Linked DNA regions of Schizosaccharomyces pombe. Changing the gene in region 1 together with any one later gene gives a genetic interaction. Each region holds a gene or a part of one and is shown in the gene's direction. Other genes may lie near its edges.

Region 1 (4,410 bases):
ATAATATCGCGTTCAGTTGCATCCCAAGCAGGATGGTCATTATCTGTAATTAAAAATAAGCGTTTTTCAAAATTTTCAGCTTTAGTAGTAAATATAACACTGCAATGATAAAGTACACTAGACAGAGAAACTTGACAAGAGCATGGTTTGAATTTTTCTTTTGAGAATTGGAAATCTTAAACAATTGAACAAAATTAGTAATCAGTGGGGAAAAAGCATGAAAGAAAGTAATCGGTTAAAAGCTTTTACCTTTTTCAAAGCTTTGTAAGCTTTTAATACGTTCAGCATCAGGAGGATCAATGTCTAAAAGCATCATTTGATTTGCGAATCGGCCCGTAGAGGACTCCTGCGCTGTGGTTAGAGACATTTAATGGCAGAAGTAAACGTCGGTGAATTTAAATGCAGCATTAAACTTACAGTACCATAGAGCAATACACCCATTATGTCGCTGGGATTTGTGATTACTCTTTGAGCCGCCAGCTGGTACGCACAAATAAGTGCCATCTGCAAAGAGCTGGGAGTAAATTCATCGACAGGATCAAGCATACTGGGAGAAACTTCAATCACAAATAAAATGGCATATTTTCCAATTGCAAAATTCTTTAAACAATCGTCAGCATAATAATTTCAAAACACCTGCGTCTACCAGTCCATATTGGTCATACTTCTGTCTCATCTATTTGTTCATCGTTTTCCATGTAAAAAACAGATTATCAAAAACAATTTCCTTGGCTTTTTAAATACGACAAAAAGAAAAAAGAAGCACGCGTAATTATAAAAACGCTGATATTTTATGTAAACCGTCCGATGATAACGGCTAAAGCACACGAATGAAATAACTATTTCATTAGTATCTTAAATGTCAAATAATTTAATATATTGATATACCAATATGAGTTATTAAGCACCAATTCCAATATTTGAGAAAAATAATAAAATGCACAATGGTGTCAACATTCTAGTGGGTGTTTTACACGCACTGTGATTGTTGCGAATACGTTAAATTTAAAGAGCTCAAGTAAAGCCGTCGTAAGTTGCAACTAATATTAGTTCGTTATAGTTCATTTGTGTCGGCTACGCAGTTTGGTATCTGATTTAAAGATACGTAGAACTGCGGTGAGTTTTCCTTGTGATCTATTATATTACAATACACAGGTTGTATAAGTAGCAACTGAGTATAGGTATTGTATTAACTGGGTTATAATGTTACCTATCACTAATATAGCTCATAACTGAACTGAGGAACGAGGTTCAGCAGTAGCTCTATTTATAGTATTCAGATAATATACATATTAATAGATTTTAATTAAGATCAATATCAATATCGTATCATACATGGTACGATATATAATTAGAACATGTGACATATAGTGAAACGCAACGTAATATATCATAGCTTAGTGTAGTATTGCTGACAATTTGCGGTTTTGTTCGTAACGTGTGGAAGAAAAAAATAAAAAATGAGGTTTATGAACGATGAAAAGGACTAGATTTTTGATATAAAATTGATAATAGGTATACTTTTCTTAGTTATTGGAAGGATTAGTCACGGGTTTCAATTTGGCCTTTACTTCGACAACTGGTAACAAAAGATAAAACACAGAGACAGAGAATAAGCAACAATTAATAGTCAGTCTTAAGTCATTCCTTTTTCAGGCTGATTATTTTTTTTTGGTTTGAATGCTTCATCAATCTGTTTTTGCTCGAAATGCGATACAATATTTAGCTTTTTAATTCTTAAAACTTTTAACTTAAGGTAAGCGAAGTATATTGTTTTATAATTGTTTAGTGAACCATCGTGTAATTATACTCTTATCTTATTGAATGAATAACGATTCCTTGCATTTCATTATTAAGAAAATATACTCTACTATGTTTAAATGAATTTTTACCTGTGCAGCGTAAATTGCGTTTTCATCAAAAACAAATAATATTAACTACAGCATGGGACGTGGTGGTAAACGCACTTGGTACAATGGTGATCGTCGAGAAGCGAAAAGGAACCGACCTAATTCTATATACAATGGAGAAGGTCGGCCAGAGAATTTGGTAGTTGGAGAAAAAAAGCCGAAAAGAAAGGTCGCCTGTCTTGTAGGTTATTGTGGTAGCGGATATCATGGTATGCAATTGAATCCTCCTAGTAAAACAATCGAAGGAGATCTTTTTGATGCTTTTGTGAAGGCTGGTGCCGTTTCTTCTTATAACGCTGATGACCCAAAGAAAGTTGCTTTAGCAAGAGCCGCAAGAACTGATAAAGGAGTTCATGCCGCTGGAAATGTTATCAGTCTCAAACTTATAATGGAAGATGAGAAGTTAATTGAAAAAGTGAACGAACACCTCCCTCCTTCCATTCGCTTATGGGATGTGATCCGTACTATTAATTCTTTTAACCCAAGGACTTATTGCGAATCTCGTATATATGAATATATGGTTCCAACGTATGCTTTTGTTCCACCGAAACCTTCGTCCATACTTGGAAATTGCATTATGAAGAATTCTCCCATGCCTGCTGAGCCAATTAACAAGGAAAATATAAATCAACTCAGTCGTTCATTATTTTATGAAGAAGGAAAGGAATTTTGGGATGATTATGATATTGCAGCCAAAGAGATTTTGAGCCTTTATGAACAGGATCCTGAAGGCTTCGTAAATCCATATTCTAAAAGGGGAGCTGCTGCTCTTGCTAATTCGGAAAATAATAAGGGCTCTGAAGCAGGAGTTTCCGCTAAAACTAATCCAGATATGGATTCCGATTCCTCTGCTATTGTAAACGAGTTTTTAAAGCCTGACTCTGTTGAAGACGAATCTGCTGGTTCCAAGATTGATCCCAGTTATCGTCTCGAACGTGCACTTAAGCACATTGAAGTACTTAAATTAAAAAATTACCGTATTTCCGCAGATAGGCTGTCCGTTATTCGAGAAACTTTAAACCAATATGTTGGAGTTCATAACTTTCACAATTTTACTGTGGGGCAAGCATTTCATCAGAAGAATAGTAATCGCGTGATCCGTTCTTTTACTGTAAGTAAGAATTATCTTCTTTGTATTTATAGTATTCTTGACAAGTCTTGTTTCTAACATTCTAGGCATCTGATCCATTCATGATTGGCGATACAGAATGGATTTCATGTAAAGTTCATGGTCAATCTTTTATGTTGCACCAAATTAGAAAGATGATTGCGCTTGCTATTTTAGTTGTACGAACGGGTTGTCCTGTTGAGCGCATACAAGATGCCTTTAAAAAAACAAAAATTAACATACCCAAGGGACCTGGTTTTGGACTTTTATTAGAGTCACCGTTTTTTAAAGGTTATAATGAACATAAAGCTCCAGAGAATAATCGTGATCCTATCGACTTTACAAAGTACGAGCAAAAAATTACTGCTTTTAAGCATGCTCATATTTATGATAAAATTTTTCTCGAAGAAGCTCGTAAACAAGTGTAAGTATATTTTTTTCTTAAATTAACTAACCGGTTTAGATTTCATTGTTTTTTGTCTTTTATTGACAGTTATAATGAAGAAGATTTCAGTTATTTATCAGATATAGGCATTACTGAAAAGACGCAAGAGGTTTCCTCAAAATTGCCTGATGTTCTTTCTAGCGATGAAGAAGAAGATTCGGCTGAAAACAAGGATGATTTAGAGGGCTAAAGGATTGATTGTGAGACTGAGGATTTGCAACAAACTGATACCATAAACTTTGCTGTTTCTTTTAAAAAATTAGACTACAAACGTGTACATATATTTTTGGAGAATACTTGTTTCTTTCTTTTTTTTAGAATTGATTATTGGTTTTGGGTTCTATTGGTATTTTTATAGTTTATTAACTTCTACTTGATTATTCCAAATGTTAAGACCGTATGGTGCAATATACAAAATAAAAAATGAAAAAATTAATGAAATAGAAACTAGATGAACGGAGGAGAAAATTAAAAAGTCGAAAATGCGTGGTCAAGTAGACCAAAATGTAAACTATAATCTCATAAAGAATTTAAATCATCAACCGAAGCAAAATCAAAAGAATTTCTTTATAGTGGTTGGCGGGCACTAAAAGGAATCACTCGTCCCAATATAGTACCAGTAACTTGCATACCCTGCTCACCATGTCGAAATGCAGCAGCTATTAACTCTCTAGTACGAAAATACGAATGGCGACGTTTTACGGGTAAAAAAACTTTTTGCTCCAAAGGCTGATTGCCAGATTTCTGGAGAACATTCATAATGAAACTGACTTCTTCATCAGAATCAACAGGCGCTTGATGCTGATTATCTTCGGATTCTTTTGCAGTTTCGAGGATTTGTCGTTGTATTTTTACTTGGTTTTTCTTTTGACAAGCTGCAAGCAAAACATCGTATGGCTGAGATCTTCCCGGAACGGCTCGTTTGCTTGACATTGAATGCGTTTTAC
Region 2 (3,809 bases), on another chromosome or scaffold:
GGTTTTCTACGTTTTATTTATGCGATATTAATACTTATTAGATTTATTTCATTTTTAAGTAAAATGTCACAATTTGCTGAGTTCAAATTACCTGCCATTAAGAACGAGCCTCCTAAACACTATGGTCCCAATAGTGCTGACAGAGAGGGAATCGTCAAGGCCTACAAGGAGTTAGAGGCTGAATTACCTGTCACTATCCCTGTCATCATTGATGGTAAGGAAGTTGAAACGAATACCATTGGTGAGCAGCGTTGTCCTTTTGAGCACAAAAAGGTCGTTGCTCGCTATCACCGTGCTGGTGCCAAGCACGTTGAAGATGCCATTGAGGCAGCACTTCGTGGAAAGAAGGTCTGGGAATCCTTACCTTTTGCTGACCGTTCTGCCATTTTCTTGAAGGCTGCTCATTTGATAAGCACCAAGTACCGTTACAAGCTCATGGCTGCTACAATGATTGGCCAGGGTAAGAACATCTGGCAAGCTGAAATTGACGCTGGAATGGAGATCATTGACTTCCTTCGCTTCAATACCAAGTATGCTAGTGAATTATATGCCAGCCAACCTCCCGAAAACACTCCTGGTGTCTGGAACCGTATGGAATATCGTCCTTTGGAAGGTTTCGTTTATGCCATTACTCCTTTCAACTTTACAGCTATTGCTGGTAACTTGGCTGCTGCCCCCCTTCTCATGGGCAACGTCGTTTTAATGAAGCCTTCTGACCATGCAGTCCTTTCTAGCTACATTGTTTACCAAATCTTCCGTGAAGCTGGTCTTCCCGCTGGAGCACTTCAATTTATCCCTGGTGACGCTGTTGAAGTCTCCAAGGTTTGTTTCAACCACCCTGAGTTTGCTGGTCTTCATTTTACTGGTAGCACAGCCGTCTTTCGTAGCCTTTGGGGAACAATTGGCGAGAATGTTGCCAACGGAAAATACCGCACTTACCCCAAAATCGTCGGTGAGACTGGTGGTAAGAACTTTCATCTTGTACATTCTTCCGCTGAAATTAAGAGTGCCGTTGTTAATGCTGTTCGTGCTGCTTTCGAATATCAAGGCCAAAAGTGCTCTGCCCTTTCTCGTCTTTACGTTTCTAAGTATGCTTGGGAAAATGGTTTCCGTGATGAGCTTACCAAACAGGTCAAGTCTCTTAAGGTCGGTGCTCCTTTAACTGATTTTGCTAATTTTGTGGGCCCTGTTATCCATCAAGCAAGCTTTAACAAACTGAAGAAGGTTCTTGAGAGTGCTGCTTCCGATTCTGAAATTGAAGTTTTGGCTGGCGGTAAAGCTGATGATTCCGAAGGTTTCTTTGTTGAACCTACCGTTTTACTTTCTAAAAACCCTAAACATGATATATTCGTTAACGAATTGTTCGGCCCCGTACTGTCTGTTTATGTATATGAGGATGACAACTTAGACGCTGTTTGCGATCTCATCGATACTACCACTCCTTATGGTTTAACCGGATCCATCTTCGCTCAGGACCGTGTTGTTGTCAGAAAGTTGACTGACCGTCTCCGTAATGCCGCTGGTAACTTCTATATCAATGATAAGTGTACTGGTGCTGTTGTTGGTGAACAACCTTTTGGTGGTGCTCGTGCCAGTGGTACTAACGATAAAGCTGGTAGCGGAATGATTCTGTCTCGATTCGTTTCTCCTCGCTCCATCAAAGATACGTTTGCTTATGCAGACTCTGTTTTATACCCTTCCAACTTTTAAGTTTGTTTTGGCCTTTTTGATTTGGATTTAATTTTTAGAATTTAGATAGACATTGGAGTTGTAGAGTGTTTTACTCTGTACTTTGATACTGCCATAAAAAAGACCACAACCTTTTTTTTTTTGGGTTTAGTACAATATGTGAGGAATAAAGGAAGTATATATATATATATATATTGATTAGTTACCTTGAGTTAAACTCAAACTTTCAAAGGTAGTCTAGGTTTTACAATTTTTTTTTTTCTTTTTTTTTAAAGCTCGCCATTTGTTATTCTAATAAATTATAATGTTCGCTTTGTTAACATGTATTGATTTATAACACTAGATTTGTTGCATTGTATATAAAAGCCAGTGGACCAAAATGTAGTTTGCTGGTGATTCTTGAATACAACAACGACCTGTAGAAAAAGGATCTCAATTATCGAACATTTTACTTGCTGACTGCGAAATATATTATATTAGGCTTCGGAGCAATTAGAAAAATTACAAGTCTTGATGGAAAGTTCGTTTGCTTTACATTTTGTTGTAGGGTTACTCATGTACAAACACCATTAACCCACATACTCTCTACTCCACACATCGCCCAACATAATTAAAACTTTTAACATGTTTTCATGGGAGGCTAGTTTATCTAATGGTAAGAGATGAGTTGGGAATTAAATAACAACTAATATTTGATAGAACTGTATTTTGTTCGTCAATACTTTTATAGTGGAAACTATACAAAGTTATTTGAAATTGACACGACATCCATGTCTGAAAAAGGTCTTGAATTGACCGAAATTTATATGGCAAGGGCAAAATTAGCTTTAGGTGAAAGTTTAGAATCAATCCAAAGTATTTTAACTCAAAAAACGCCTGGATCAGCTGCTATTCTGGCGCTGGCTGGGGAGGGGAACATGGAGTTAATTATTGACCAGCATGGCAATTCAGACAGTGTGGTACAAACATTAGGAGCTATTTTTCAAATTAAAAATGGTTCTTTTGATGATGCAATGGATTTATTAAAGAAGTCAGTAGAGAACTTGGAGGCGGTGGCGCTTCAAGTATACATTCATTTACGAGAGCACAAAATTGAAGCTGCTGAACAGACATTGAAACAGGCTTTGGATTGGGCTGATGAAGAAATTGTACTACAGCTGGCACAATCTTGGATTAAAATAGTTAGTGGAGGCGTCGAATCCTATAATGATGCATTTTATGTTTTTGAAGAGTTAAACGGAACTGATAGCAATCCAATGACTTTAACTGGTATGGCGTGTGCAGACATATGCTTGTTGAGACCTGAAGAGGCTTTGAGCTCGCTGAAAACTGCCCTCGATTCTCAACCAAATTACGAGGAGGCACTATCAAATATGACTACTGCAATCACGGATTTAGGCCCTGATGCTCCTTCTCAAGCCAAGAATATACTTTCATCTTTTACAAATTCTTCTACACTGAAGTTGAACGATCATTTAAATGAAAAGGCGCAAGAATTTGATACTTTTTCAACTCAATTTTTGAGTACGGCTTAATCCAATAATAATATTGTTTAGAATCTTCAATCCATTAATAAACTTCAAATGTTTGCATTTTTAGTATTTATTCATTGACTATTGCTTCACTCAAGTAATGGCTCGTTGATCTGTCTGGCAAAGCAAGTCAATCCAGTATTGCCTCGATAAATTTCAAGTTTACCAGAAGTAAAGGTATTAAACTAATTAATTAGAAATACTTAACCGCATGCAGAAGAAGACTCATGTAGACATAATAACAAGAAAACGCACCCGAATATATCTCGAAATGAAACATTTAAATGAACGCCGTCACAACAGGAGCGTCTTTAAACCGTTTACTTTTATTTATCAAATACATTCATTAATTAAAAATGAACTATTATGACTATCCACCTATATATTTGTTTTTAAAAATCTAGAATAGGTGGTTCTTGTCCAAAATTACTCAAAACCTGCAGTGCCACAAAATGACAAGCAACAAGTTTGCCTTTACAAATAGAAAAGAAAGATGTTTTGAAATACACAGGTGTTTGGAATTTGGAAAAAGCAAGAAAACCGATATTAAACGATAAGACTTTAAGAATCGAAGATGAACTTGCTCAA
Region 3 (3,722 bases), on another chromosome or scaffold:
TGCACGTTGTATCTACTAGCCTGTCGATCATAAGCTTCGATAACAGTTTCAAACATGTTTAAGAGCTTGGTAGGAAGGTCCTTGCATAAATTACCGGGTAAAAACTCTTTTTGTAAAATAGTACAAGCAGTAGAAAAAGGTTCCATTACTTCAGTAATAATCTCATCGCAACGATATTGAGCAAGCAATTGCTGTTGTGTAGGTAAATCAAGGTCCTTGTTGTTTTCAATGGTGTCCCATATCTCACGAGTATAAAGAGAAAAACCATCAGCGGGGATTTTTTTATGATAACTCACATTAAATATGTAATCAGAATTATTGTTATCCACAAATCTTTCACGCAAACTATCAACAGCTTCACTGAAAGCATCAGAACATAAAATCTTATGTGGTAAACCAGTGAAGCCAACATCAAAAAAGTCATTAATTACGGAATTTTCGAATCCTTCTGGTTTCGAAAGGGATGCCCAAATGTTATTCAAATCGGTCATAATAGTATCTGCTAAATTTTCCATTGAAGTATTTCCCAAAAAATCCCGAATAACAAATTGAAGCAAGCACCTTTCTTTTTTGTTATGAAAAAGTTGTAAATTGACTTCTAGTACTGTTTTAAGTAATGCCATGTTTGAGCCTTGGTATAGACCAACCTGATTTTCCCACATATTAACGATAATTACTTCACTAGTTGAAATGGAAAATAAAGCTGATTTTCTTTCAAAATCCTAGGTTGGTTAGTAATGACTCCAAAAGAAAATATTGATCAATTATGAGTAAAGGAAATACTAATGTGTAACTAATAGTAACAAATTAGTTCGCATTAAAATCTTACCTGATCTTCACCGCGCTCTCTACCATCGGTGCCTTCTACATCCATTACAAGAATAGGCGAATTGTTTGCCTTCGACAACCAAATACCTAACAAAAATTAGCAGCAAGCTCAGATGTTTTAATTAAAAAGAAATAATAGATTTACCTTTAGTAGTTTGTTGCCTTTTGGAAGCATCCATTACTGAAAATGAAGTCCCAAATAAATTATTTAGCAATGTACCTAATCATAGAGTTAATCAAATTTGCTCAGTGAAAGCTTTAAGTATCCAATTTAAAAGGATGTTATAACATTGGTTGGATATAGAACTCTCAAGTTGATTTTAATCTACTTACTCTTGCCAGTAGATTGGGAACCCAAAACGGCAACAACATGATAGTTGAAACCAGCATCTAACAGTCCTACGCTTTGCATAAACTTTGGTAATTCATTGTTGAATTGTTTATGTTCATCCACAATTTGTGTGGAAACCCTATTGGAAGCAGTACTCATGTTTTGGTGTAAGCGGAAGACAAGTTAACAAACATATAAGGTAGTGTGATGTCGAGGATGTAATATATCCTGACAACATTTTCAGTATTCATTAACAAATATATAACTATTTAAGTTAAATTATTGTAAAAAGACAGGTTTTGCATAATTTTGTTTATATAAATATCATGAAACAGATGATACTTTTCCTATAGTAAACTAGCAATGGCATAACAACACTCGTTAGCTCTTCCTTTCTAATGTTTACTAAGTTACTCTGCGAATGTTCAGATGTTTGTCTGTTAGCTCCATATATTTTCTTGTTAAAATTATGATTTTTAAAGAAAGAAAATACCAAGGATTTAGTTGAAGAAAGGAATGTATTTTAAAGAGTCATTCGGCCATTGTTTTGAATCTTTTCACAATGGTCTTCAAAGACTTATCGCATTTACAGACAGGAAATTTGTGCTTTTCTAAAAAGGAAACAGATTTGTATGTTTACAGAGAACAGTACTTAATAATAGGTATTAGATGCAAAATCAAGAGTGTAGCTTAAACGTTTCTCAAAAGCGCTTCGTAGTATTCGACGATATCGGTTTCATTCAATTTGTGAAGTGTTTTTGACGTTGCCGAATATGCTAAAAAAGTACAAACATACTATAATATAGCCCTTCGCAAGGTTGGAAATTATTTAATTTAATAAAATTTCTAGCATAGCTTTAGGAATCGAATTCTTTGTACTAATGTCTCACTATCCTATGCAACCTTCTTTCATTGACACGATGCGCAATTCAACCCATCGTTATGAGTACTTTATATAGGTGCGTAAAATAGTTAAAATCCTTTCTCATGGATTTTCTTCCTTAGTTTAGCTAAGAACAAAGGAGAATGGCTTGGGGAAAACGCGTTGTCTCCGCCACGCGTAAATATTATATATAAATGTTTGATGCTACATCGCGCTTTTACTATTTTCCTCACACATCGCAATTGTAGCAAATGGCTAAGGCGAAAGAAGTAAAAGCGAAACCTATTAAAGGAGAGGAAGGTATAATATTGACAAAAGGCATTGGTATTCAGCTAATCAATCGCAGCTGAAAAACTTGTTTACGAGTATTTACGAAAAACGAATCGTCCCTATTCTGCAAGTAAGAACATACATTAAAAAAATCGAAGCTGACAATTTTGTTAAAAGCTGACGTTAGTGCTAATTTGAAAAATGTTGTCAGTAAACAGGTCGCGCAGAAAGCATTGGAGCAGCTACGCGACACTGGACTAATCCATGGGAAACTATATGGTACTGAAAAATTAGTTAAACAGATTACTAACGATTACTGAGGAAAACAAAGTGTGTTCGTTTGTCTTCAAGATGACTTGGCAGCTGCTACTCCTGAAGAATTGGCTGAAATGGAGAAGCAAATTCAAGAACTAAAAGATGAGGTTTCAGTTGTTAAAACTCTATACAAAGAGAAATGCATTGGTCAGTAAATAAATGCTATTCTTTAAAATGTAGAATGATACTTCACATAATATGCATGATTTAAAACAGATCAAAGTTTTATTGATGGTATCGTTCATTTGTTTTGAGCGTACACAGCACTTGTTTTATGCTAACTCTAAAAGAATTACAAGCTTTAAATAACTCACTCAGTCCAGCCGAAATTCGTGAAAAAATTCAGAGCATTGATAAAGAAATTGAAGAAACCAGCTCAAAACTCGAATCTCTTCGAAATGGTACCGTTAAACAAATTTCCAAGGAAGCAATGCAAAAGACTGATAAAAACTACGATTTTGCAAAAAAAGGATTCTCAAACAGAAAGAAAATGTTTTATGATTTATGGCATTTAATTACTGATTCCTTGGAAAACCCTAAGCAGTTATGGGAAAAACTGGGATTTGAAACGGAGGGACCAATTGACTTAAACTAAAAACTTAACTTTAAATTTAGCTGATCCCTTTTTAACATTTTAATCATTAAATTTATATAGCTCAAAGAAAAGTCATTATCCATAGTTAAATATAAATACCTTAGCAGACAACTGCTCTAATATGTGCTTGCATTGCTGCACAACATTACCTGTCCTCTTGCTATACTGTGTGGTTATGACTAGTGCTTCTTACGTCGTGATAGCTTTGATTTTTTGGTTAAAGTAGAAAGCCTAGTGAAAGCATTAGATTTTGCAATTTAAGCTAATGTCTAATGCACCATCAAATACGCCAACAGGGTTTAATTATAAACCTGGGCATACTTTGTATATTCGAAATTTCGGAACGGATATGAGAGCCCGGACACTAGGCCAGGCCTTTGAAAAGTAATTGTTATTGAATGACTGATTGTAGATTACAACTTTGGTTTTCAGTCAAGTGATCTCTATTTTTGTATCGCATCTGTTCTAATTGATGATAATAGATGGGGTAGAATAGTTCG

The links.
Region 2: mutations in pus1 (region 1) and sec28 together harm fitness more than expected from each alone (negative genetic interaction), as found in Schizosaccharomyces pombe (one large-scale study listed by BioGRID).
Region 3: mutations in pus1 (region 1) and meu13 together harm fitness less than expected from each alone (positive genetic interaction), as found in Schizosaccharomyces pombe (one large-scale study listed by BioGRID).

What each region holds. Positions count from the first base shown.
Region 1 is NC_003421.2:2,118,721-2,123,130, forward strand, and holds pus1 (tRNA/U2 snRNA pseudouridine synthase Lsp1), read left to right. Parts: upstream 1-1,894; 5' UTR 1,895-1,944; coding exon 1,945-3,021; intron 3,022-3,086; coding exon 3,087-3,442; intron 3,443-3,481; coding exon 3,482-3,653; 3' UTR 3,654-3,910; downstream 3,911-4,410. Other genes in the region: Ku domain protein Pku70 , read right to left, coding at 1-175, 250-346, 418-600, 666-698; SAGA complex deubiquitinating submodule subunit Sgf73, read right to left, coding at 4,031-4,410. UniProt on the Schizosaccharomyces pombe protein: Formation of pseudouridine at positions 27 and 28 in the anticodon stem and loop of transfer RNAs; at positions 34 and 36 of intron-containing precursor tRNA(Ile) and at position 35 in the intron-containing tRNA(Tyr).
Region 2 is NC_003423.3:2,325,193-2,329,001, forward strand, and holds sec28 (coatomer epsilon subunit protein), read left to right. Parts: upstream 1-2,281; 5' UTR 2,282-2,313; coding exon 2,314-2,344; exon of another isoform or gene 2,345-2,388; coding exon 2,389-3,224; 3' UTR 3,225-3,309; downstream 3,310-3,809. Other genes in the region: put2 (delta-1-pyrroline-5-carboxylate dehydrogenase), read left to right, coding at 64-1,710. UniProt on the Schizosaccharomyces pombe protein: The coatomer is a cytosolic protein complex that binds to dilysine motifs and reversibly associates with Golgi non-clathrin-coated vesicles, which further mediate biosynthetic protein transport from the ER, via the Golgi up to the trans Golgi network.
Region 3 is NC_003424.3:975,416-979,137, forward strand, and holds meu13 (homologous-pairing protein 2), read left to right. Parts: upstream 1-2,293; coding exon 2,294-2,342; intron 2,343-2,388; coding exon 2,389-2,442; intron 2,443-2,489; coding exon 2,490-2,591; intron 2,592-2,633; coding exon 2,634-2,774; intron 2,775-2,862; exon of another isoform or gene 2,863-2,917; coding exon 2,918-3,222; downstream 3,223-3,722. Other genes in the region: GTP-binding protein Sey1, read right to left, coding at 1-722, 830-915, 974-1,048, 1,162-1,318; SPOM_SPAC222.18 (Srp1 family splicing factor), read left to right, coding at 3,488-3,606, 3,705-3,722. UniProt on the Schizosaccharomyces pombe protein: Required for proper homologous pairing and efficient cross-over and intragenic recombination during meiosis. Acts indirectly in a process facilitating homologous recombination. Acts during mid- to late-horse-tail period.